Oryctolagus cuniculus: one gene and its partners. The protein of the gene in region 4 binds, or shares a complex with, the protein of the main gene of each other region. Links are inferred from orthologs where the notes say so. Each region holds a gene or a part of one and is shown on either strand. Other genes may lie near its edges. The genes, in order: LAMTOR1, LAMTOR2, LAMTOR4 and FNIP1.

Evidence for each region.
Region 1: FNIP1 (region 4) and LAMTOR1 share a complex: the UniProt entries of both Homo sapiens proteins name them as parts of the lysosomal folliculin complex. The link is inferred for Oryctolagus cuniculus from reciprocal best matches to the Homo sapiens genes FNIP1 and LAMTOR1.
Region 2: FNIP1 (region 4) and LAMTOR2 share a complex: the UniProt entries of both Homo sapiens proteins name them as parts of the lysosomal folliculin complex. The link is inferred for Oryctolagus cuniculus from reciprocal best matches to the Homo sapiens genes FNIP1 and LAMTOR2.
Region 3: FNIP1 (region 4) and LAMTOR4 share a complex: the UniProt entries of both Homo sapiens proteins name them as parts of the lysosomal folliculin complex. The link is inferred for Oryctolagus cuniculus from reciprocal best matches to the Homo sapiens genes FNIP1 and LAMTOR4.

Annotation. Positions count from the first base shown.
Region 1 is NC_091432.1:63,578,338-63,582,335, forward strand, and holds the end of LAMTOR1 (ragulator complex protein LAMTOR1), read right to left. Parts: intron 3,244-3,998; coding exon 3,098-3,243; intron 2,855-3,097; coding exon 2,777-2,854; intron 2,479-2,776; coding exon 2,352-2,478; intron 2,046-2,351; coding exon 1,953-2,045; 3' UTR 1,441-1,952; downstream 1-1,440. Other genes in the region: LRRC51 (leucine-rich repeat-containing protein 51), read left to right, coding at 120-268, 529-688. UniProt on the Homo sapiens protein: Key component of the Ragulator complex, a multiprotein complex involved in amino acid sensing and activation of mTORC1, a signaling complex promoting cell growth in response to growth factors, energy levels, and amino acids.
Region 2 is NC_091438.1:42,634,416-42,639,864, reverse strand, and holds LAMTOR2 (ragulator complex protein LAMTOR2), read left to right. Parts: upstream 1-2,159; 5' UTR 2,160-3,017; coding exon 3,018-3,085; intron 3,086-3,332; coding exon 3,333-3,495; intron 3,496-4,696; coding exon 4,697-4,786; intron 4,787-5,016; coding exon 5,017-5,073; 3' UTR 5,074-5,191; downstream 5,192-5,449. Other genes in the region: UBQLN4 (ubiquilin-4), read right to left, coding at 1,810-1,917. UniProt on the Homo sapiens protein: As part of the Ragulator complex it is involved in amino acid sensing and activation of mTORC1, a signaling complex promoting cell growth in response to growth factors, energy levels, and amino acids.
Region 3 is NC_091450.1:42,481,091-42,486,456, forward strand, and holds the start of LAMTOR4 (ragulator complex protein LAMTOR4), read left to right. Parts: upstream 1-2,112; 5' UTR 2,113-2,395; coding exon 2,396-2,398; intron 2,399-2,798; coding exon 2,799-2,879; intron 2,880-4,732; coding exon 4,733-4,850; intron 4,851-5,030; coding exon of another isoform or gene 5,031-5,047; coding exon 5,048-5,145; 3' UTR 5,146-5,366. UniProt on the Homo sapiens protein: As part of the Ragulator complex it is involved in amino acid sensing and activation of mTORC1, a signaling complex promoting cell growth in response to growth factors, energy levels, and amino acids.
Region 4 is NC_091437.1:20,416,911-20,422,200, forward strand, and holds the start of FNIP1 (folliculin-interacting protein 1), read right to left. Parts: upstream 3,516-5,290; 5' UTR 3,386-3,515; coding exon 3,294-3,385; intron 1-3,293. UniProt on the Homo sapiens protein: Binding partner of the GTPase-activating protein FLCN: involved in the cellular response to amino acid availability by regulating the non-canonical mTORC1 signaling cascade controlling the MiT/TFE factors TFEB and TFE3.

The DNA of each region.
Region 1 (3,998 bases), on a different chromosome or scaffold from region 4:
TTACACCATCAACCCCCTGTGGAGGACTGAAGCGGCCAGGTTGTTCCCTCATGCCTCCTCGCCAGCACGCACCCACCCAAGGTGCTGTCCAGCCTGGCTTTGGTCTCCTTCCCCAACAGGTCCTAACGACTTTCTTCAACCTGAGCGTCCTCTACCTTCATGGCAACAGCATCCAGCGCCTGGGGGAGGTGAACAAGCTGGCGGTCCTTCCTCGACTCCGGAGCCTGACACTCCATGGGAACCCCATAGAGGAGGAGAAGGGGTACAGGTAAGTGCCCTGCCCCAGAGCCCGGGCTCGCCTGAGGGGCAGGGACAGGGACAGGGACAGGAGACAAGACAGCCAGGACCATTCTCGCACTGTGCTTGCTCCTGGGAAGGGAGCAGCAGACCTGTAAGCATTTCCTGTTGTCAGTCAGGGTCCACACACACTTCCCCAAACTGGATCTAAGTCCCTCCATCCCCTGCCGTGAGGGAGAAAGCAGCAGGTGGGGCGGGGCAGGGAGCTTCTGATGGGGGGCCGGCCCCCAGCCCGGGTCTCCTCACCAGGCAGTATGTGCTGTGTATGCTGCCCCGTATCACCACATTCGACTTCAGTGGGGTCACCAAAGCAGACCGCACCACAGCTGAAGTCTGGAAGCGCATGAACATCAAGCCCAGGAAGCCCCGGCTCAAGCAGAACGCACTCTGAGGCCCCGGACCGCAGCAGTCCTGAAGGCCCGAGGACGGTCAGCTTGGTGTGACAATAAATGCTTTGAGCTGTTCAGCAGACGCGAAGTCACTTGTGCCTCATGGGATGCCCTCCAACTCGGGTGACTTCCAGGAGTGCTGGGCATTCCACAGTGTCAGGCCAGCAGCGAGGACAGGAGACTGGGCTTCCCACAAGGCCTTAGGAAGGGTCCCTCTGTACCCTTCAGCTTAGTTATCCTGGGGTTGGCATCGATCACTGAATCCCCAAACTCTTCGCAGAGCGCCAGGTCAGAGGAGACACCCAAGAGGCCCCGTGGCAGGTGTGGCAGGTCCAGAAGACAGGTGGTGATCTCAGAACCTCCCCACTTCAATCACAATGCTCTACTTCCAGCAGCCTTAGCTTTTATATGGTAGGCTTCTGCTAAGATCTCATTTGATTCAAAGAATCTCTGCTTAAAAACATTTCCTGCTGGCTCCAGATCAGGGGTTCCCAGGACAGCTTGGTTTACCCCCAACCCTGTGGCTATCGGTGACCCCACTGAGCCTGAGGCAGGACCCTCAACAGTCAACAGCTGCTTCAGATTCAAGCCTGTGCAGCATTGACTGTGTTTAAGATCAGTCGAATCCAATCTGAGGTTAGCCCAGGCCAAGGTTCAGCTAAGACTTGGGGCCCCCCACCCCACTGCTCACAGACTTGGGTAGCCAGAAGTAGTAGGGTGATGGGTGGGACAGAGGGGCCGGAACCAACGCAGATGAATACATTTCCTTTATCGAGGGTGACAAACAAAAACAAAAAGAAAAAAGACCAAACATGTAAAAACCCAGGGTGCTAGAAAGACAAACTCAATTCATTCAAATTCAAGCTCATCCAGACCCTGGTCACAAACCCTAGAGGTGCATGTGAGCACCAAGTCAGGGAGAGGGGGACAGGAGTGACTCTGAGGCCAAGAGGAAGGGTGGGAGGGGGACCCTTTGGGCCCCAGTGACCACCCCCGCAGTGGCACCTCCACCTTCCCAGTGACTGCGAGGACCTGTCCTTTTGGCCCCCACTCCACCCCTAGCTAGGGCTTTGAAGCCAGTCCCAAATGGTTCCACCCTCCCTTGCTCCGTCCTCACTTGCTCAGGCTTCCAGCCTCACTCTCCTCCTCCTCGTCCACATCTCCGTGATTAGTAGCAGGTTAGGGTACTGTATAAGCCGCAGTGAGGCTGGGGGCTGGGGGAGGCGGGGTGGAGAGAGGAGAAGAGCTGTCCAAGGATGCTTCTCTTCACGGGATCCCAAACTGTACAACCAGCTCCTCTTTTGCGTCCACACGGATCTGAGAAAGTGCACTGTAGGCGTAAGCAGCTATCCTGGAGACCTGAGACACAGGGGACGGAGGAGAGGGACAGAGACAGGTGAGAGGGGAATCAGCGAAGAGCAAGGGGCAATGGGCGACAGGAGGCCAAACAGAAAGCCACGGATGGAAAGGGCCCAGGGAAAAGAACAAAGGAGGTGAGATGGAGTAAGGATTGGGCGAAAAGACAAGAGGACATTAAAAAGAGCGAGGTGGGAGTGAGCCAGGGCCCACAGGCCACTGCGCTCCTAACACCACTGCTCCACCTACCCCGGGGCAGGGTGGGCGAACCCTCCTGTGGAAAGGGAGGCAGACTGAGGGGCAGCTCACCTGCTGCAAGTCGGAGAAGGGGATGGGCTCGCTGGCCAGCACTTGGTGCGGCTGGCTGGTTAGAGACGGCAGCGGTGGCAGCTTCTTCCAGTGGGTCAGGCTGCTGCTCAGCACGGCCAAGCGGGTGCTGAGCAAGGCGGGGAAGGCAGTTAGGCCACAGTCTGACCACCCCAGCCCAGCCCAGGCAAGTCTATTAACCTCCGGCCGATGACAGGGAGACAGGGTCTCTGCTGATCACAAACTCACTCTAGGCACACTCTCAAGACTATCACAGGGCAGAAGCTGACATGGACATCTGAGGCGCCCAAGGGATTTGTGTGCAGTCTCCTGGGCTGCACCCAAACAGTGAGCCTGAGCAAAGCTGGGACAGGGCTGGGGTGGAGAGAGCCCCAAAGGCCTGAGGGAGCCAGCTGGCCAGTGCTCACCTGTACTGCCTTGCCCGGTCCATGTACTCATGTTGCTCCATGCCCTGGGAGTCTGCGGCAGACACATCGATGATGTTGCTTTGGGGACGAGACAGAGAAGACATGACAGGTGTTTTTGAGAGGGACAAACATGACTCAGTGCCAGGTGCCAACTCCAGGGCTATCCGACACCAGTGGCCCCACCCTGCCTTGAGGCGCAGCTCCTCAATGACCTTGTCCCATTCCCCATGTCCTAGGCCAACTCCCTCTATCCCAGCCTTCAGTCCGGATGGACAGACGGACGTTGGAACTCTGCCCCAGGCTCGGGCCTGTGACCCTCACCTGGCTGTCTTGGCGAGGATGGAGGAGAGCAGGGCCTGCTCATCTGTGCGAGCGGAAGGCAGGCTGTGGTAGTTGGGCTCAGCTCCATTGAGGGCTTTGGTGGGGGGGCTGCTAGGGTCCAGCAGCAGCTTCCGCTCCTCTCGATCCTAGGAGAGGCCATGGGGGAGACCCTTAGTCCAACTTGCCTGGGGCTCTCCCTGCAGCCCAGCTCTAGCATAAGCACTCGCTTGAGTGCCCAACTCTATGGGCTATCAGGCAAGACTCAGTTTCTGCCTGCGTGGGGAGCTGTGCCAAACTGGTGGTGGCCTAGGGTTAACTACAGGGGAATAACCAAGCAGTCCTAGAGGCACTGAAAAGGTGGACAGAGGCAGAAAGCAGGAATTCAGCCACAGCCCTGGGGCTTCAGTAAACAGTCCAGGATTTGGTGGAGAAAGGATACTGGACAGAGGGGTGTAACAGCCCGTAACAGTCGGATCTAGAAGGAAGTCAGTGCACGTCGGGAGCTCAAGAACCGACCCCTGGGCCCCAGGACGAGGCCCTCCCCAGCAGAGCTGTCTGCTCCCGAGATGACGGCCCTGGTGAATCCAGACAAGGCCCAGGCACCAAAGGAAAGCAAGTTCAGTGGCCATTCCTCAGGTGACCTCAGGGCAGGAATCTCAGCCCAGGATCTGGGTCACACAGGACAGCTGTCCTCCCTTCTTGAGGGCGGATCCTTCTCTCAGGTGCATGCCCTCCTGTATGTGCCTCCCAGAAGCAGTGGCATGCACCTGGTGAACCCTGCACTGAGCTGAGCAGTACAGCTGTCGCCTCCCTTTCCAAGCCCCCACACCTCTTGTGGCTGGAGCAGCCTCTTCAGTTTCAGGAGCCTGTTCCTGCTAGCCTGTGCAGATAATCACAACCA
Region 2 (5,449 bases), on a different chromosome or scaffold from region 4:
CTCTCACCAGGAACCCTGATTCCTCATCAAGGATTTCAAAGGGAAGTCCCTTCGGCTGTCTCAACCCCACCCCTCCAGCTTCGATAAGCAGCCCCCCACCCCGTTAGTTTATTTATCTTATTTATTTGAAAGACAGAGACAGACAGCCACTGGTTCACTCCCCAAATGTCCCCAACAGTCAGGGCTGGGTCAGGCAGAAGCTGGGAGCTGGAAACTCAATCCAGGTCTCCCAGGTGGGTGGCAGGGACCCAGCCACCTGAGTTAGCACCTGCTGCTTTCCAGGGTGCACATGAGAAGGAAGTTGGAATTGGCAATGGAGCCAGGCCAGGCACTCCAAAATGGACTGTGGACATCCCAACAGGTGTCTTACCTGCTTTAAGTTTTGTTTACTTATTTGAGAGAGAGAGACAAACAGAGCAAACAGAGCTCCCAGCCACAGGTTCACCCCCCAAGTGCTTGCAATAGCAGGGGCTGGGCTAGGCTGAAGCCAGGAGCCAGAAGCTCAACCCAGGTCTCCCATGTGAGAGGTAAGGACTTGAGCTGCCGCCTGCTGCCTCCCAGGGAGCTTCTTTCTTAACCAGGAAGATAAGCCAGTCAGAGGCTCCTCTCTCAGCGCCATCCCAGTCTCCCACCCGAGGAAGCCCTCACAGCTATCTGTACCCCAGACTGAGCAACTGCCCCATCAACTCCTTCTACGGCCTGGCGCTTCTTCAGCCTTCTCCTCTCCCCGCTCCAGCGTCCCGCCTCTCCTGACTTCCAGCTCTCTCAACAACAGCAACAACAAGGTCCAGCCACTGAGCACGAACCAGGCACGAGTTAATGGTCCGGTATTTTCATTATTAACTCCGTGTTCAAGATCAGAAAACGGAAGAGCAGGGAGCTTAGGTAACATCCTGGGCAGATTGGAACTCAGGTCTTGACCAGACACTCTTGCCTCTCAATTCCAGCTGTTTTCAAAGTCAGCTTTGCAGGGACCCCTCTTCTGGAATTCAGTCATTTTATACTGCTGGGAGAGTTCAATTCTCAGTCCCTGCAAAGCCCAACCCAACCCAACGCACACTCCGAGTAGAAAAGGCGCACTTGCTAATAAGCAAAGGGAGCTTCCAAATCCCTCTCTTCCAACCAGATGGCCCATCCTGAAGCCCCGCCTATGTGAAATTCTGGAGCAACTACAGGGGGGTGGCGAACGCAGGCAAGAGTCCCTCATTCAACAAAACCTTATGGAGCACCTACTGCACACTGTGCAAATCTCAGAAGAGCTGAAAACCAAGTGTGACCACCTCGGGCTTAAAGAGCAGGAAGGATCTAGGGCAGAGAACATCCTCCACCCCACCCCGCGCCCTGCGTTCGGCGGACTCTGGGCGTTCTCCGGGCCACACAGGAGACGCGGGCGCTCTCCGCCTGCCCCCTACCCGCTCTACGGGTCCAGCACCTAGCCGGGGCCGCCACTGCGCCTCGGCGCCTCGAACCCCGGCCAGTTCCAGGGGCGCACACTCCCCTCAGCCCCAGGGTGCTTCCCGGGGGCCGGCGCAAGGTGTCCCCTTACCCACTCTTCCACCACGCCCCCAGCCCCGGCTCCAGTGCAAAGCCCGCTCCCCCCAGCACGCGCCACACTCCCCCAGACCCGCCCGCGCAGGGCGCCCCATATCCGCCTCTCCTGCCCACGCGAGTCCCCGCCGGCCCCCGCCCTCCTCCCCGGGGCCGTCCCGGACGCCAGGCAGTCACGGAGGCCCCCCGCCCCGTTTCTTCGTAGCCCCCTCCTCCGCACTCCCTCTCCGCTCCCCCCCCGCCCGCCGCTAGCCCTACTACCTCCTTGACCGAGGCTCGATCGCAGATCACAATTTCCTCCTTGTCCTTGGGGGTCTTGACGGTGACCCGAATGGGGGGCCTCGTCTCGGCCCCGCTCGGCTCCGCCATGCCGCCGCCGCCACCCGGCCGCCCGCCAGCCCGCCCGGCTCCTCCTCCTCCTCCTCCTCCCCGCCCGCCGGCCGGCCCGGCTCGGCTCGGCGCCTCCAACACTCCCCTCTCCCCTCCCCTCGCCGCGGCTCCGCCGCCCCCTCCGGACCCGCCGCAGCCACAGCGCCCCGGGCGGACTGGGGGGGCCACTGCAGCGGGGTCCGCCCAGGGCCCGGCCTGGGGTCCGGCCGCCGGGACGCGGCCTGGGTGGCGAGGGCCTCTGGGCGCGGAGGGCGTGTCCTTCACGGCGGGGGCCTGCGAGAGACCCCCGCCCGGCCCGAGCCTCGCCGCCGTGCCCTGCGACCCCGGGCCGCCCCCTCCCCTCCGCGGTTACTCCTGCTCCCGGACAAAGGACTTTCTGCGTGGCCGCTTTTTCTGTGATAACTTGGTCTTCCCTGGGCGGTGCAAGTTCCTTTCCAGGCCTGGGGCCTCGCTCCACCGGGAGTCTGAATTTTCTCCCCGCGGGACGTCCACTTAAAGCCTCCACTCAGGGAGTGACCCTGTTGCTCCCGATGCCCACGGCCTGAATGGCCTGTTCTGTACGGTGCGAGAACTGGGTGTTGCCGGCGTCACCGTTCCAGCCTCGGTTTCAAGAAAACAGAATCTCTTGCCTCATCCCACAGAATAGTGCCTAACGTAGAAAACCGCTCTGAGAAGTAACCCAGGCTGTGCCCGACAAATACGAGGATTTATTACTACTATTATCGCTTCGTGAGTAGCCAAGCGGCCATGATGACCTCTCTCCGCCAAGGGGTTAAACGTCCTCCCAACCCTGCCACATTGCCCTTCCACTCCCGCTCTTTTCCCCCACGACCGCGTGGTCTAGCTGAGGAGGCGAACTACAGTTCCCAGTGTGCCTTGCGAGACCACAGGAACTACGATTCCCAGTCCCTCCGCGGCTGAGCGGGGTGGGGCCAGAGCAGCTGTCACGGGGTCGGAAAACTACAACTCCCAGGGCGTTCCCGAGCGGGTCGCTGCACTGCCGGAAGCCGCAGGCCGCGGCTAAGCGGGACGCCGCTCGGAGGATCTGGGATTTAAAGGCTGGGTGACGAGCCGCTGGCATGCTGCGTCCCAAGGCGTTGACCCAGGTGCTAAGCCAAGCCAACACCGGAGGCGTCCAGAGCACCCTGTGAGTGCGGGCCGTGGACCCGTGCGGCGGCAGCGGAGTGGGGCGGGGAAGGGAGGCGGCCGAGGGGACCCGCAGCTGACCGAGAGCGCGCCTCTGGAAAGGGAAGCCAGCGTGCTGGGGGCTCGGGACGCCTTCCGGGACACGCTCAGCTCAGCCCCTTGCCTCGTAGGAGCGCCAGTGATACGGGCGTCGGGGCGGGGACCCAGGCGTTTGAGCATGTCGACATCCCATCCTTGTCTCTCGCCAGGCTGCTGAATAACGAGGGATCGCTGCTGGCCTACTCGGGTTATGGAGACACGGACGCCCGGGTCACCGCGGCCATCGCGAGTAACATCTGGGCAGCTTATGACCGAAACGGGAACCAGGCGTTTAACGAAGACAACCTTAAATTCATCCTCATGGACTGCATGGTACGGAGAGAGGGGAGCCAGACTTCCTCCATCCACCAAGGGGATTCCCAGGGGGCGAACTGGCCCCCATCCTGGATGATTGTTGGGGCAGGGACAGAATCTCCGAGAGATTGCTAAGAGTTGGTCCTGCAGCAGCGTTTGCGATAGGCAGGCCCGGGAGCACCCAGCGGTGGTGAGGAAGGAGCCCCGGACCTCAGGTCTGACTTGGGTTCTGGTCTCTGCCATGCACTTAGCAGTGGTGAAACCTTGGGTAAGTCACTTCCCTCATCTCCAAGCAGGAGGTGATGAGCCATCCTCCCCCACCTCGGGACTGTTGACAATCAAATGAAAGAATGGGTCTACACCGTAGAGAGCTGTTCAGACGCAGAGCGTGTCCACCCAGCGCCACCGACTTGCAGGGCCATGGCGGAGTCTCCAGACCCGGACAGGAGAAGTGGCCATTACACTGTGACTTTCTTGGGAACAGGGACTGCTTCGCTCCTCTCTGAATCTCTTAGGTGACGACCATTTAGGTCCTGCAGGACTTTTAGGACTAGAGGGGGCATACAGACAGGACAGACAAAAACCCCATTCCTGGTGGAGCTTACAACCTTACATGTGTTTTAAAATAAGCAGACTATCTGGTCTGGACCGTATGAAATGCAATGGAGAAAAACAAAGCAGGGAAGTAAGAGGGTATGGAGGGCGTGTGTTAGGGCCAGTGTCACTGAAAAGGCGATGTTTGATCAAAGGACAGAGGGTGGTGGGGGTCCAGTCATGTGGCCCTCTGACAGAGCAGCAAGTACCAAGGTCCTGTGACAGAGTGGGGCCTGGACTAGGATCAGCAAGCTTGGCCTGAGTCGCGGGAGGGTAGCAGGAGATAGGACCAGAAAGACAGGGGCTGTGGTGCCTGGTTCCCAGCACACAGCGGACACCTAGTAAAGGTTTGCAGAACCAAAATGAACAGATTGCAAGGGTGCGTGCACCAGGAAGGGTCTCCACTGTAACTTGGCTGCCTGCCCCCCCTGACCTCACCACTGCCATTTTGGCTCAGCAGGTGACTCCTATGGGTGCCTAGCTGGAGCTGGTGCTATTTAAAGCAGTAACTTTCAAATGTGACTGCAACCCAGACGAGACATACATTTTAAGTCAGGAACCCTCGGGGAAGGCGGGTCCTGTGAGTGTCAAACAGAACATCCCATCCCATCATATCCCCTACCAGGAGGGCCGTGTAGCCATCACCCGCGTGGCCAACCTTCTGCTGTGTATGTATGCCAAGGAGACCGTGGGCTTCGGCATGCTCAAGGCCAAGGTGTGTACATGTCCATCCTGCCGCAGCTGTGGGCCCGCTGTTGTGCTCCGTCACTGTGTCCACTCCCACCCACAGCACCGCACCGCTCTCAAGTCCTTCCGTCAGCTCAATTAGTGTCTGATGTGGGCAGGAGGGAGGTGGGAGTGGTTGAGGGGCGGCCTTGGGAGTAGAACTGGGATCCGTCAAGTGGCAGGCATCTGCGACACTGACTTCTTCCCCCCCTCTTGCAGGCCCAGGCCTTGGTGCAGTACCTGGAGGAGCCCCTGACCCAAGTAGCTGCATCATAATGGACATTGGTGGAAGCTGGGGTCAGAATGGGGTCAGCATCATAGAGACCATGGGGGGAGGGCGGGACTGTGGTTTTTGATTTGTTGTTGTTGTTGTTCAAGAATGAAATTCAGCTCCTGTCTTGTGTCTTGGCTTTTTTTTTTTTTTTGGATGGGAAGAATCATAGGAGGCAGGAAGGAGCAGGGGCCACGTACAGGGTGTCCTGTGTTCTGCAAGAATGGGCGTCCACCTGCACCTTCCCTGTGACCTCCCGCTACCAAATGGTTCTTGGCAGAGGTGCCTCAGCTCTCCTGGCCTCTCCAGTGCTGTGACCTCACCTACCCTGGTGAGGTCACAGCAGATTCTTAGCTACCTGGTTGGCAACCTTGTTGGGAG
Region 3 (5,366 bases), on a different chromosome or scaffold from region 4:
CTGCCAAGGCCTTAAAGCCCCTTCTGTCAGTTTCTATTTGGCCTAGCATCTTTCTGTCCTTTGTTATAGACCCTGACTAGAAGACAAGGGTCAGCACTGTACAGTTGATGGTCCTGTGAAATCAATACTAGCCCCTAGATGAGCAGGCCATTAAAGTGGGCAGAAGGGGACCATGATTGGTCCCCATAGTTACCAGTAGAAGGGGGGAATGTGAGACCTGAGCCTGGATCAAGGTGTAACTATTTTAAATTAGGCCTCCATCTTGTAACTTGGGCCTGACCAGGCCCTGAACCCTAAGCCAGAAGCTCTTAAAAGTAAATAAATGAATTCCCCTTGAGATAAACTCTCCTAGCAACAGCCAATTAGCAGATAACAGAGAAACACCTAGAGTTCCTGGTGTCTTCTCAGGGCAGATAAGGTGATTGATAGCTACCTGAGACCCTGTAGTTCCGCACATACACCCCAGCAGCTCGGACCCTATGCTTCGGCCAATCAATTCAAAAGGCATCAACCCCAAAGCCATCCAACCACCTTTAGTAGGTCCGTTCCCGCCACTGGATGCACGAATCAATTCTAAGAGATGTTCTTTGAATTTCCTGCAGGATGAGATGATTTGCTAAATGGAACCATGATGTATAGAATGTCTCTGAAACCCTATAAAAACCCTGTTAACTGAAGGGTCGGGGCTCTCATTTCAGGCCCGCTATGTCGGTGTTGATTGAGAGTCCAGGCCCGGACCTGCAATAAAACTCTCGTGCGCTTTACAGCGGTATCGGCTCCTTGGTGGTCTTTGGGAACAACTGAACTGGGCGTAACAATAAACCTTTCAAAATTTATTTTTGAAGAGCTGTGAGGTGACTGTTAATTCAGCTTGATTGGCAGTGATTTTTTTTTTTTAAGATTAATTTTATTTGAAAAAGAGTTACAGAGAGAGGTAGAGACAGAGAGAGAGGTCTTCTATCTGCTGGTTCACTCCCCAGATGGCCGCAATGGCTGGAGCCCATTCGAAGCCAGGAGCTTCTTCCGGGTCTCCCATGCAGGTGCAGGGGCCCAAGGACCTGGGCCATCTTCCACTGCTTTCCCAGGCCACAGCAGAGAGCTGGATCCGAAGAGGAGCATCTGGGACTGGAATTGGCGCCCATATGGGATGCCAGTGCTTCAGGCCCGGGCGTTAATCTGCTGCCACAGCGCTGGCTCCTGATTGACAGTAATTTGTCAAACCTTCTCAAAAAAACCAAGCAAGGGAAGGCTGTTTCCTGATACTGCAGCAGGACCCAGCTGACAAACCTCTAACACAGGTTTGTGAACTGTGGGCTAAAAACCACCTCTGATGTGGTTTCTTTCAATCAGTGTTCGACCAATGTGACGTCTTCCAGATCATGTTTAGTGATGCTAATCAAGTGCCCCAGGCCTTCCCGCTGCTGTTTTGAATGTTGATTTCTCACAACAGGTCTGCCTCTAGGTAGCATCTTCAGTATTCAATGCTCCAAGTGAGTCTGCATTCTGATTTGGGATATCAGTTCATTAAGTCGGCCCTTAAACTGGGTAGGGTTGTTTTTTTTTTTTAAGTAGCATTTGAATAATTTTTCACATGCACTTCAATATTTCATTTCAATCTCTCCTTTTAGGGTTGGGAAGTCGTTTTTTTTTTTTTTTTTTTTTTTTTTTTTTTTTTTTGACAGGCAGAGTGGGCAGTGAGAAAGGTCTTCCTTTGCCGTTGGTTCACCCTCCAGTGGCCGGCGTGCTGCAGCCGGCGCACCGAGCTAATCCGATGGCAGGAGCCAGGTACTTATCCTAGTCTTCCATGGGGTGCAGGGCCCAAGCACTTGGGCCATCCTCCACTGCACTCCCTGGCCACAGCAGAGAGCCGGCCTGGAAGAGGGGCAACCGGGACAGAATCCGGCGCCCCGACCGGGACTAGAACCCGGTGTGCCGGCGCCGCAAGGCGGAGGATTAGCCTAGTGAGCCGCGGCGCCGCCCAAGGTTGGGAAGTCTTAAACCCAGGAGACGACTCTCTTAGCCACTAGGGGGCAGTCTAGACCAGGTCGACGCGGGCCCGCATGCAGGCGCACGCGCACGCGCACATTCAGAGCTCCGCCCCCTCTCCGCGGACGCTTTTCCCTTCCTGCCCCGCCCCGCCCCGCCTGAGGGGCGGGGGAACAAATGGTAAAAAGTGTATGCGACCAATCCACGCGCGCCTCCGGAAAGCGGCTCTCCACACCGGCTGATCAAGTCTGATGACGTAGCCACGCTCCAATCCACACGCTGGGGGCGGGGCTGAAGTTCGGCGTCGCTGAGGGGAGGGAGGAGTCCGTCTGGTGGAAACACGTGACCCGGGCCTGCAGCCGGAAGCCACCTGTCTCGTAGGCAGCTCCTCAGGCACCTTAAGGCTGCGATGGTGAGTGAGGGCGCATGCGCAGGAGTGAGCGCCCGGGCTTCCCTGTCCAGGTTCCCCGGTCCTGGGTGGCCCCCTCCTGGGCCTGTACCCCACCCTCACCGCGAGTCCGCCCCGGGCCGAGAGGGATCTGTGGGAGGGCATTCGGGGCTGGGAAGTTCCCTGCGGGTCGGGGCGGGGTAGGAGGGGCTGGGCAGAAGGGCCAGCGGGGCTGCGGAGACTGCTTGGGTGGCGAAGGTGGGATGTGGGGGGCCGAGAGTGGGTGCTGACGGAGGCTCTGGAGCCTCAGAGGTGGAGGCCGCGTAGAGGGGCCCTGGCGGGGGCGAGGGGCAGCCTGCAGCCGTCGTCCGGAGCGGGCCTTCGTGCCGGCTCGCTTTTCACTGCTTGCATCTTTACCCACTAGACTTCGGCGCTGACCCAGGGGCTGGAGCGAATCCCAGACCAGCTCGGCTACCTGGTGCTGAGCGAAGGCGCGGTGCTGGCGGTGCGTCCTGGGGGAGCACACAGGGCCCAGCCTAGCTTAAGTGTCCCTGTTCTCTGCCTTTGCCATAGGGAGCTTGCAGTCAGTCCCCAGTCCGTGGAGGCTTGGGCTCGCATCCGTTTTGCACTAAGTTACTAACTTTGAACCAAAGGCACACGCTAGGTATAGGTTTGTGGATAGCTGACCCTACCTACGTGTTCCTCTAGCCTATTTTTATTTTATTATTTATGGGGTTAGCGCTCTCGACGCTTCTGCACTAGGTAGAAAGACAAGGCTTCAGGTCCAAGGTGGAAAGCAACGCAAGTGGGAGAGACTGTTGAAGGGGTTCAGAAAACCACGCCTGGGCTCCGCAGGAGAACCTGAGTTGGGCAGATTTCTCGGGGGAATTCAGCTGAGCGCACAGCAGGGGCGGTTGTAGGTGAGCAGAAGAGTGTTCAGGGCCGGGAAGGGAACACATTTGCAGGGGTGGACGCTGCCTGGCGAATTGGTGGTGGGTTCGTGTTGAAAAGATTTGGGGAAAGACAAGGATACGGTAAGGAAAAGATCCCGCCATGGAGGACTTCCAAGGCCACGGTGTTAAACGCCTCTAGACCTAATCTTATAGGAGCCTTGAAGTTTTTTGTTGTTGTTTTTAACAGAAATGTGACCCAACGGAAGGGCTGAGCAGGATTGTTCTGTTAGTGGTGTGAGGACGGTGCTGGCAGGGGGATGCCCAGGCTGGTGGCAGTGAGGAGCAGGAGTGAAGAGGTTTTAGAGGAATCTTGGTAGTGACTAGATAAGAAGTAGAGGAGACATTTCTCTGTCCAGAGTTTGAACTCAGAAGCCTGGAAGAAGTGTTTCCCAGCCCGGCGCCGTGGCTTACTAGGCTAATCCTCCGCCTTGCGGCGCTGGCACACCGGGTTCTAGTCCTGGTCGGGGCACCGGATTCTGTCCCGGTTGCCCCTCTTCCAGGCCAGCTCTCTGCTGTGGCCCGGGAGTGCAGTGGAGGATGGCCCATGTACTTGGGCCCTGCACCCCATGGGAGACCAGGAGAAGCACCTGGCTCCTGCCTTCGGATCAGCGCGGTGGGACAGCCGCAGCACGCCAGCCGCAGTGGCCATTGGAGGGTGAACCAACGGCAAAGGAAGACCTTTCTCTCTGTCTCTCTCTCACTGTCCACTCTGCCTGTAAAAAAAAAAAAAAAAAAAAAAAAAAAGTGTTTCCCAAACAGGACATCAAGAAAGGAGGTTGACTGGGGGCAGTGGATAAGGGGAATTTTGATGGCCTGACTTTAGGCACCAAATTTGATACAGAATAGCAACTAATATGAGTTGTTCTCAGTGCCTCCACGTAATCCTCACAAGCCTAAAAGATAGAGATCGGTGTCCCCAATTTAGGGATGCGAAGACTGAGGTACAGGTGTCTAAGAACCAAGGGAAATAAGCGTAACTTAGTGGGAGGAGGCTCGAGTCAGTGAGGTGGGAGGAAGTTGAGTCACCGGAAAAGAGGAAGCCCAGGCCACCATCCGCACTTCCCCAGGGGGCGAGGGGCAGGGAGGGGTTCCACAGAGGCGGTGTGTGTTTTAGATTCTGCAGACCGAGCAGCGGGGGAAAGCAGAGCACTGAACAAGCCCGTGGTGGGTAGGCACTGATGGTGGAGACCGTGGACAGGGCGAGAAATCCACTCTGAAGGGGTTCGAGAACTGTCTGGGAAGGGCTGAGGGCATCTCTCATGAGGGAGGCCCAGGATGGTAGGGATGAGCAACGGGGTAGCCCGAGGCGGGTGACCCGCAGGGAAGTTTTAGGTCCATTCGTTGGGCAGATAGGAAGGGAGACCCTGTGCCTTCACCTCTGTCACCTCCCCCCCTCTGCATGCAGTCGTCCGGGGACCTGGAGAATGACGAGCAGGCAGCCAGTGCCATCTCAGAGCTGGTCAGCACGGCCTGCGGATTCCGGCTGCACCATGGCATGAACGTTCCCTTCAAGCGCCTGTCCGGTGAGCCCCAGCCCCTGCCGTGGTGGTGGGGGTACCTCTAGAGGCTTCTCAGGGAAGACACCTTGCTTCTTCCCAGCACCTCCTGGGGTCCCTGGCTCAGCCACTTCCTTCCCTTGGAGATTGGCCCCGTGCATGGCACCCGCTAACCATGCTCCCTTCCCTCCCCTGGGGCGGGGGAAGGTGTGTCTCCCCTCCAGTGGTCTTTGGCGAGCACACGCTGCTGGTGACTGTGTCGGGACAGAGGGTGTTTGTGGTGAAGAGGCAGAACCGAGGCCGGGAGCCCATTGACGTCTGAGCCTGCCCGAGGGTGAGGGTCAGAGCAGTGGATGTGGGGCCGCGGGCCGGGGGCCTTGGACGAGGAAGACAGACACGTCGTCCGCCTCTCTTGGCTTGCTGCTAGAACTAAGGTCTTCTGCTCACCCGCCGTCCCACCCCTGTGGAAAGGCAGAGGCTTGGAGACTGCTGTGTTTCAGAGAATGGAGGCAAGGGGACCTCTGTCGTCCTTCCCTCCCTCCC
Region 4 (5,290 bases):
ATGAAAATACTTATCTGCATAAAGACCTATATAAAACTATTCGCAGCAGGCCAGCGCCGTGGCTCACTTGGCTAATCCTCCACCTGCGGCGCCGGCACCCCAGGTTCTAGTCCCAGTTGGGGCACCGAATTCTGTCCCGGTCGCTCCTCTTCCAGTCCAGCTCTCTGCTGTGGCCCAGGAGGGCAGCGGAGGATGGCCCAAGTGCTTGGGCCCTGCACCCGCATGGGAGACCAGGAGGAAGCACCTGGCTCCTGGCTTCAGATTGGCGCAGTGCGCCGGCCATAGCAGCCATTTGGGGGGTGAACCAACAGAAGGAAGACCTTTCTCTCTGTCTCTGTCTAACTTGTCTAACTCTGTCAAAAAAAAAAAAAAAAAAAAAAAAAAAAAAAAAAAAACTATTCACAGCAGCACAGTTCACAAAACCCCTATCTGGAAACAACACAAATTTCTTCCAACTAGTGAATGAGTAAATAATTGTGGTGTGTACAACACACACCATTCAGCAATGAAAGGAAGGATTAATGAAACTACTGACAGATGCAACAACACGGCTAAGTCAAAGTCATCATTCTGTGTGAAAATGAGCCAAATACAAGGCTATACAGTGGGACCAGCAGAGTGGTAAAGCCATTGCCTGCAGTGCCGGCATCCCATATGGGTGCTGGTTTAAGCCCCAGCTGCTCCACTTCTGATCCAACACTCTGCTATGGCCTGGGAAAGCAGTAGAAGATGGCCCAAATCCTTGGGCCCCTGCACCCACATGGGAGACCCAGAAGAAGCTCCTGGCTCCTGGCTTTGGATCGGCTCAGCTCTGGCTGCTGTGGCCATTTGAGGAGTGAACCAGCGGATGAAGACCTTTCTCACTCACTCTCTGCTTCTGCCTCTCTGTAACTCTGCCTTTCAAATAAAATAAATAAATCTTAAAAAAAAAAAAAACTCTATACAGTATGATTTTGTTTATATAAAACTCCAGGAAGGTTAAAAGTATGATGACAGAAAGCAGATCAGTGACGACCCCAGGTGACGAGAAGATACAGACCGACTGCAAAGCGCACAAATCAAATTTTAGGGGGATGGACATGTTCCCAAGCTTCACTGGAATGGTGCACACACAACTGAGTCTATACAAAAGAAAACACAACAGGACATTTAAAATGTAATTTTATTTTGTATAAATTATAATTCAATAAGGTTGTTTAAAAAAATTTGGTTAATGAGATCTGCAAGTTACTAGCTATGTGATGTTAACCAGAGTTTCCATTTTCTCACATGTACACTTGCACACATTTTATTTTCTAAGAAGTTGCTTGGGGTGAATATCTGGTGCACTGGTGAAATCGCTCCTTAGGATGCCAACATCCCACGTCAAAGTGCCCGAGCTGGAGTCCCTGCTCTGCCTCTGATTCCAGCTGCCAGCGTATGCAGACCCTGGGAGGTAGCAGGTGATGGCTCAAGTACTTGGGTCTCCGACACTCATGTGGGAGAACCAGGCTTTCATCTGGTCCAGCCCTGGCTGTTGTGGCCGTTTAGGGAGTGAATCAGTTGATGGAAAACCTGTCTGTGTGTGTGTGTGTGTGTCTGTCAACCTGCTTTACAAATAAATAAAGGAAATGCCTCCCTCGTGCACTGCCCATTACTGGGCTTATACACAATTCTTACTTCCACTGGAAAAAATGATAACAGTTATCTATATTGCCACTTGCCCTATCTCACAAGGTTGTTGTGAAACATCAAACAAGATAACCGATGAGAAAGTTCTTTGGCAACTTTATAGTAGTATTACACAACCATACAGCAGACTTTACATTTTTAGAGAGTAGACAGGAAAATGTGTTCTCACGAGTGACTTGAGACCACTGTAAACTTGGGTGCCCAAAGTCAGCCTTTGCTCAGAAATAGAAAGGTGCTGTCTGTTCAAATGTCACCTTTGAAATATCTTTCCAGAACCTGCTTCCTACTATCTCCTGAGTTACTACGTGTGTCCGTGTAGTATTGACACAGACTGTACTTTCATTTTTCAAAGGAAAAATACTAAAGTAATGTCTAGAAAAAGTCAGATGAGCATGGTAAGACATCTCCCTCACAGTGGAAAAGACCGATACCTAGAAAACTGCCTTTTTTTCCTCTACCAGTTAACTTCTTTCCATTTCCTATTTCAATTCCACATGTATTTACAGAGCGTTTTCTGATGTGACCCGCATTAGCAAGAAAGGCTGAATAACTTTAGATTCAAAACTTCTAAAACTAGTGTGCCGCAATCCTTCTCACTTCGGCCTGCTGGAAGATTCGAGATTCTCATTTTTTCCTACAGCTATTGTACAACCAGGCTCTCTGCTATGTAATAAGTTTGAGGGATATTCGACATGTAGCCAGGTTACATTTGCAAGTTTCCAGGCTACAACAGATAGGAAAGCTGTGTCGAAGACACAACATCTCTTCATATGAAGTTTCACGAGTAATTGTGACCCTGAATCCAGCTTTACATCAAATCTTACAATTCTAAAAAGTTATTCAACCAGCAACAAGTACTGCAACCAAAAATTAACAAAGCTTGTAATGCCACAAAACCTTCTGCCACAGTCTTCAACTTGTGGCCTCCTGTGCAGTAACAGCTCTAAGGGGGAAGATTCTAGGGCCCATCCTAACGCCAGACCTCACGGGATTCGGTCCCGCATCAGCTGGGTGGGCAGTCAGGCTAACCTCTCGGGTTTCCCATTTCTCTTGCAATAACATGAAAGCCGCAAGGTCCGGTATCCGCAAGCCTCCAATTTCAGTCTCCAAGAAGCCTCAAAGAACGGCCCCTAGCCTACTCGCTCCTGCAGCCCTCTGCACACCCAGGAGCTTGGCCAAACGTGCTGCCCTCTCCCCGACGCCAACAGAGCTGGAATGGAGCGCCCAGAGGGCGACTGGTCACGGGGAGGAGGGGAGAAGTTCTGGGCCGGGAGGACCGCGGCTCAGGTCCAAAGCAGCCCGCGCCCTGCCCGCTGCCAGGAGGCGTGTGGACCCCGTGCCTCAGGCCGCGGGGCCACGTCCGGAGGGGCAGAGCCACGCGTGGCCGCGGACGGGACGTAAACAAACCAGCCCGAGGAGGGGGAAGGGGCAACGGCGGGGCGGTGGTGGGGAGAGAAGACTTCGCTCCAAGCCTCCAGCCCGAGTCCGCACCGGCCCCACCCCACCGCGAACCGGGTCCCGGTCCCGGCCGCGCGGGCCTCAACGCCCACGGCCCCACCATCTCTGGAACCCAGAGCCCAAAAGGCCATCGGTTTCGAGCCCCCCTTCCCGCAGCACCCTACCTGAACGCGCAATCCGGGTCCCGGGCGTCTCGGCCCGGCGCGCCCAGCCCGCTCCTCTTGCTGAAGAGCTTCTGGAACAACGTAGGGGCCATGCTGGCCACGGCCAGGCCGGGGTCGCTCCGCTGGGCGCTCGCTAGGCCCCCGCTCCTAGAGCCGCCTCGCCACCCCCATGGGCGCCTCAGTCATATGACAGAAATTAGTCACTTCAAACGGCCACGGCGCGCGGGGCGGGGCGCGAGGCAAACCCCGCGCTTATTGGCTGGCGGGGAGCCGCATCACGTGGCGGCATGCGGAGCAGGGGGCAGGAGGGGGTGCGGGGCGGCGCTGGCTCCCATAGGCTGGCGTCTGGTCCTGTCACGTGGCAGCTCGCGGGGCGGGGCGTGCGCGGAGAAGATGGCCGGGGTGGAAGGGACGTGATCAGGTCCCTGTGCTTGCATGGGAGGCTGTCAGTGGCTGTCTGAGGCTATGGCAGGTGGCGCGGTGACGACACCAGGGACTGTGGGATGCAGAAGCCTTCCGCGCCTCACTTCCACGATAGAGATGTTTGGGGTACCACAGGCAGCGGGCTCACCCGCTGACTCCCCCGACTTGAGCCGATTCTCCCCTCCAACTCGCGCCTGGCCGAGCCGGCTGCTCCGGCAGCAGAGCAGGCACACTAATACCCTTGGGGCCGCGACCGTGGCAGCATTGAGAACCCCCGGCCGCGAGACGGGACGGCGCGGAGGCCGGCTTACGGGGTCCACCTGCCTAGACGTCCTCCCGAGACGACCTAGGCAGGGCACCGGGAGTTTCCGCCAGCGCCTGCAACCCTGACACCTGGCATTAGAGCTGGCGACTGCGGTAGGGAGTTCAGCCCAGCTCCCTTGGTAACCGATAAAATCTGAAGTGAAACTGAGAAAGACTGGAAGCCTAGAAAGGGGACACACACCCACAAATACCTGACCCTTTATGCTCAGTGTTTACAATGTTAATAAATCCTATCAATGCATAGGGATGGGAAAGGAAGAAACCGGAATTTTAACCAAAGGATGGGGGGGTGCTTTCTAAAAAAAATACTCATAATTTTTTTAAAGATTTATTTAGTTAGTTAGAAGCAGTTAGACAGAGAGAGAAGGAGAGGCAGAGAGAAAGAGAGGGGAGAGAGAGAGGTCTTCCATCCGCTGGTTCACTCCCCAATTGGCCACAACAGCCAGAGCTGCACTGATCCGAAGCCAGGAGCCAGGAGTTTCTTCAGGTCTCCCATGCGGGTGTAGGGACCCAAGGACCTGGGCCATCTTCTACTGCTTTCCCAGGGCCTAGCAGAGAGCTGGATAGGAGGTGGAGCAGCCGGGACTCGAACCAGGGCCCATAGGGGAATGCCAGCACTGCAGGGGGCGGCTTTACCCGCGACGCCACAGCACCAACCCCAACTCATAAATTAACAGTCATACAAACCCATGGAATCAAAATACATCAGGGTTTGGATCAAACCAGTATTGTAAATTCTCAGCATCCCCATGCATCCCCCCACTCCACTCCAGGATGAGGAATTTTGTACAGTAGGCTGCAATTCTCAGAAACGTGGACGTCAGGAAATGACTGCTATACGGCTGGAAGACTATATTTAAAAAAATGCAGCCGGCGCCCGGCTCACTAAGCTAATCCTCCATCTAGGGGCGTCGGCACACCCGGTTCTAGTCGCCGGATTCTGTTCCGGTTGCCCCTCTTCCAGGCCAGCTCTCTGCTGTGGCCCGGGAAGGCAGTGGAGGATGGCCCAAGTGCTTGGGCCCTGCACCCCATGGGAGACCAGGAGAAGCACCTGGCTCCTGCCTTTGGATTAGCGCGGTGCGCCGGCCGCAGCGCACCAGCCGTGGCGGCCACTGGAGGGTGAACCAACGGTAAAGGAAGACCTTTCTCTCTCTCTATCCACTCTGCCTGTCAAAAAAAAAATGCTTATTTGAAAATTTCTTTTAATTAGGCATTAAAACGTTTTCAGAGTGGCTACCAACTCCAACTAA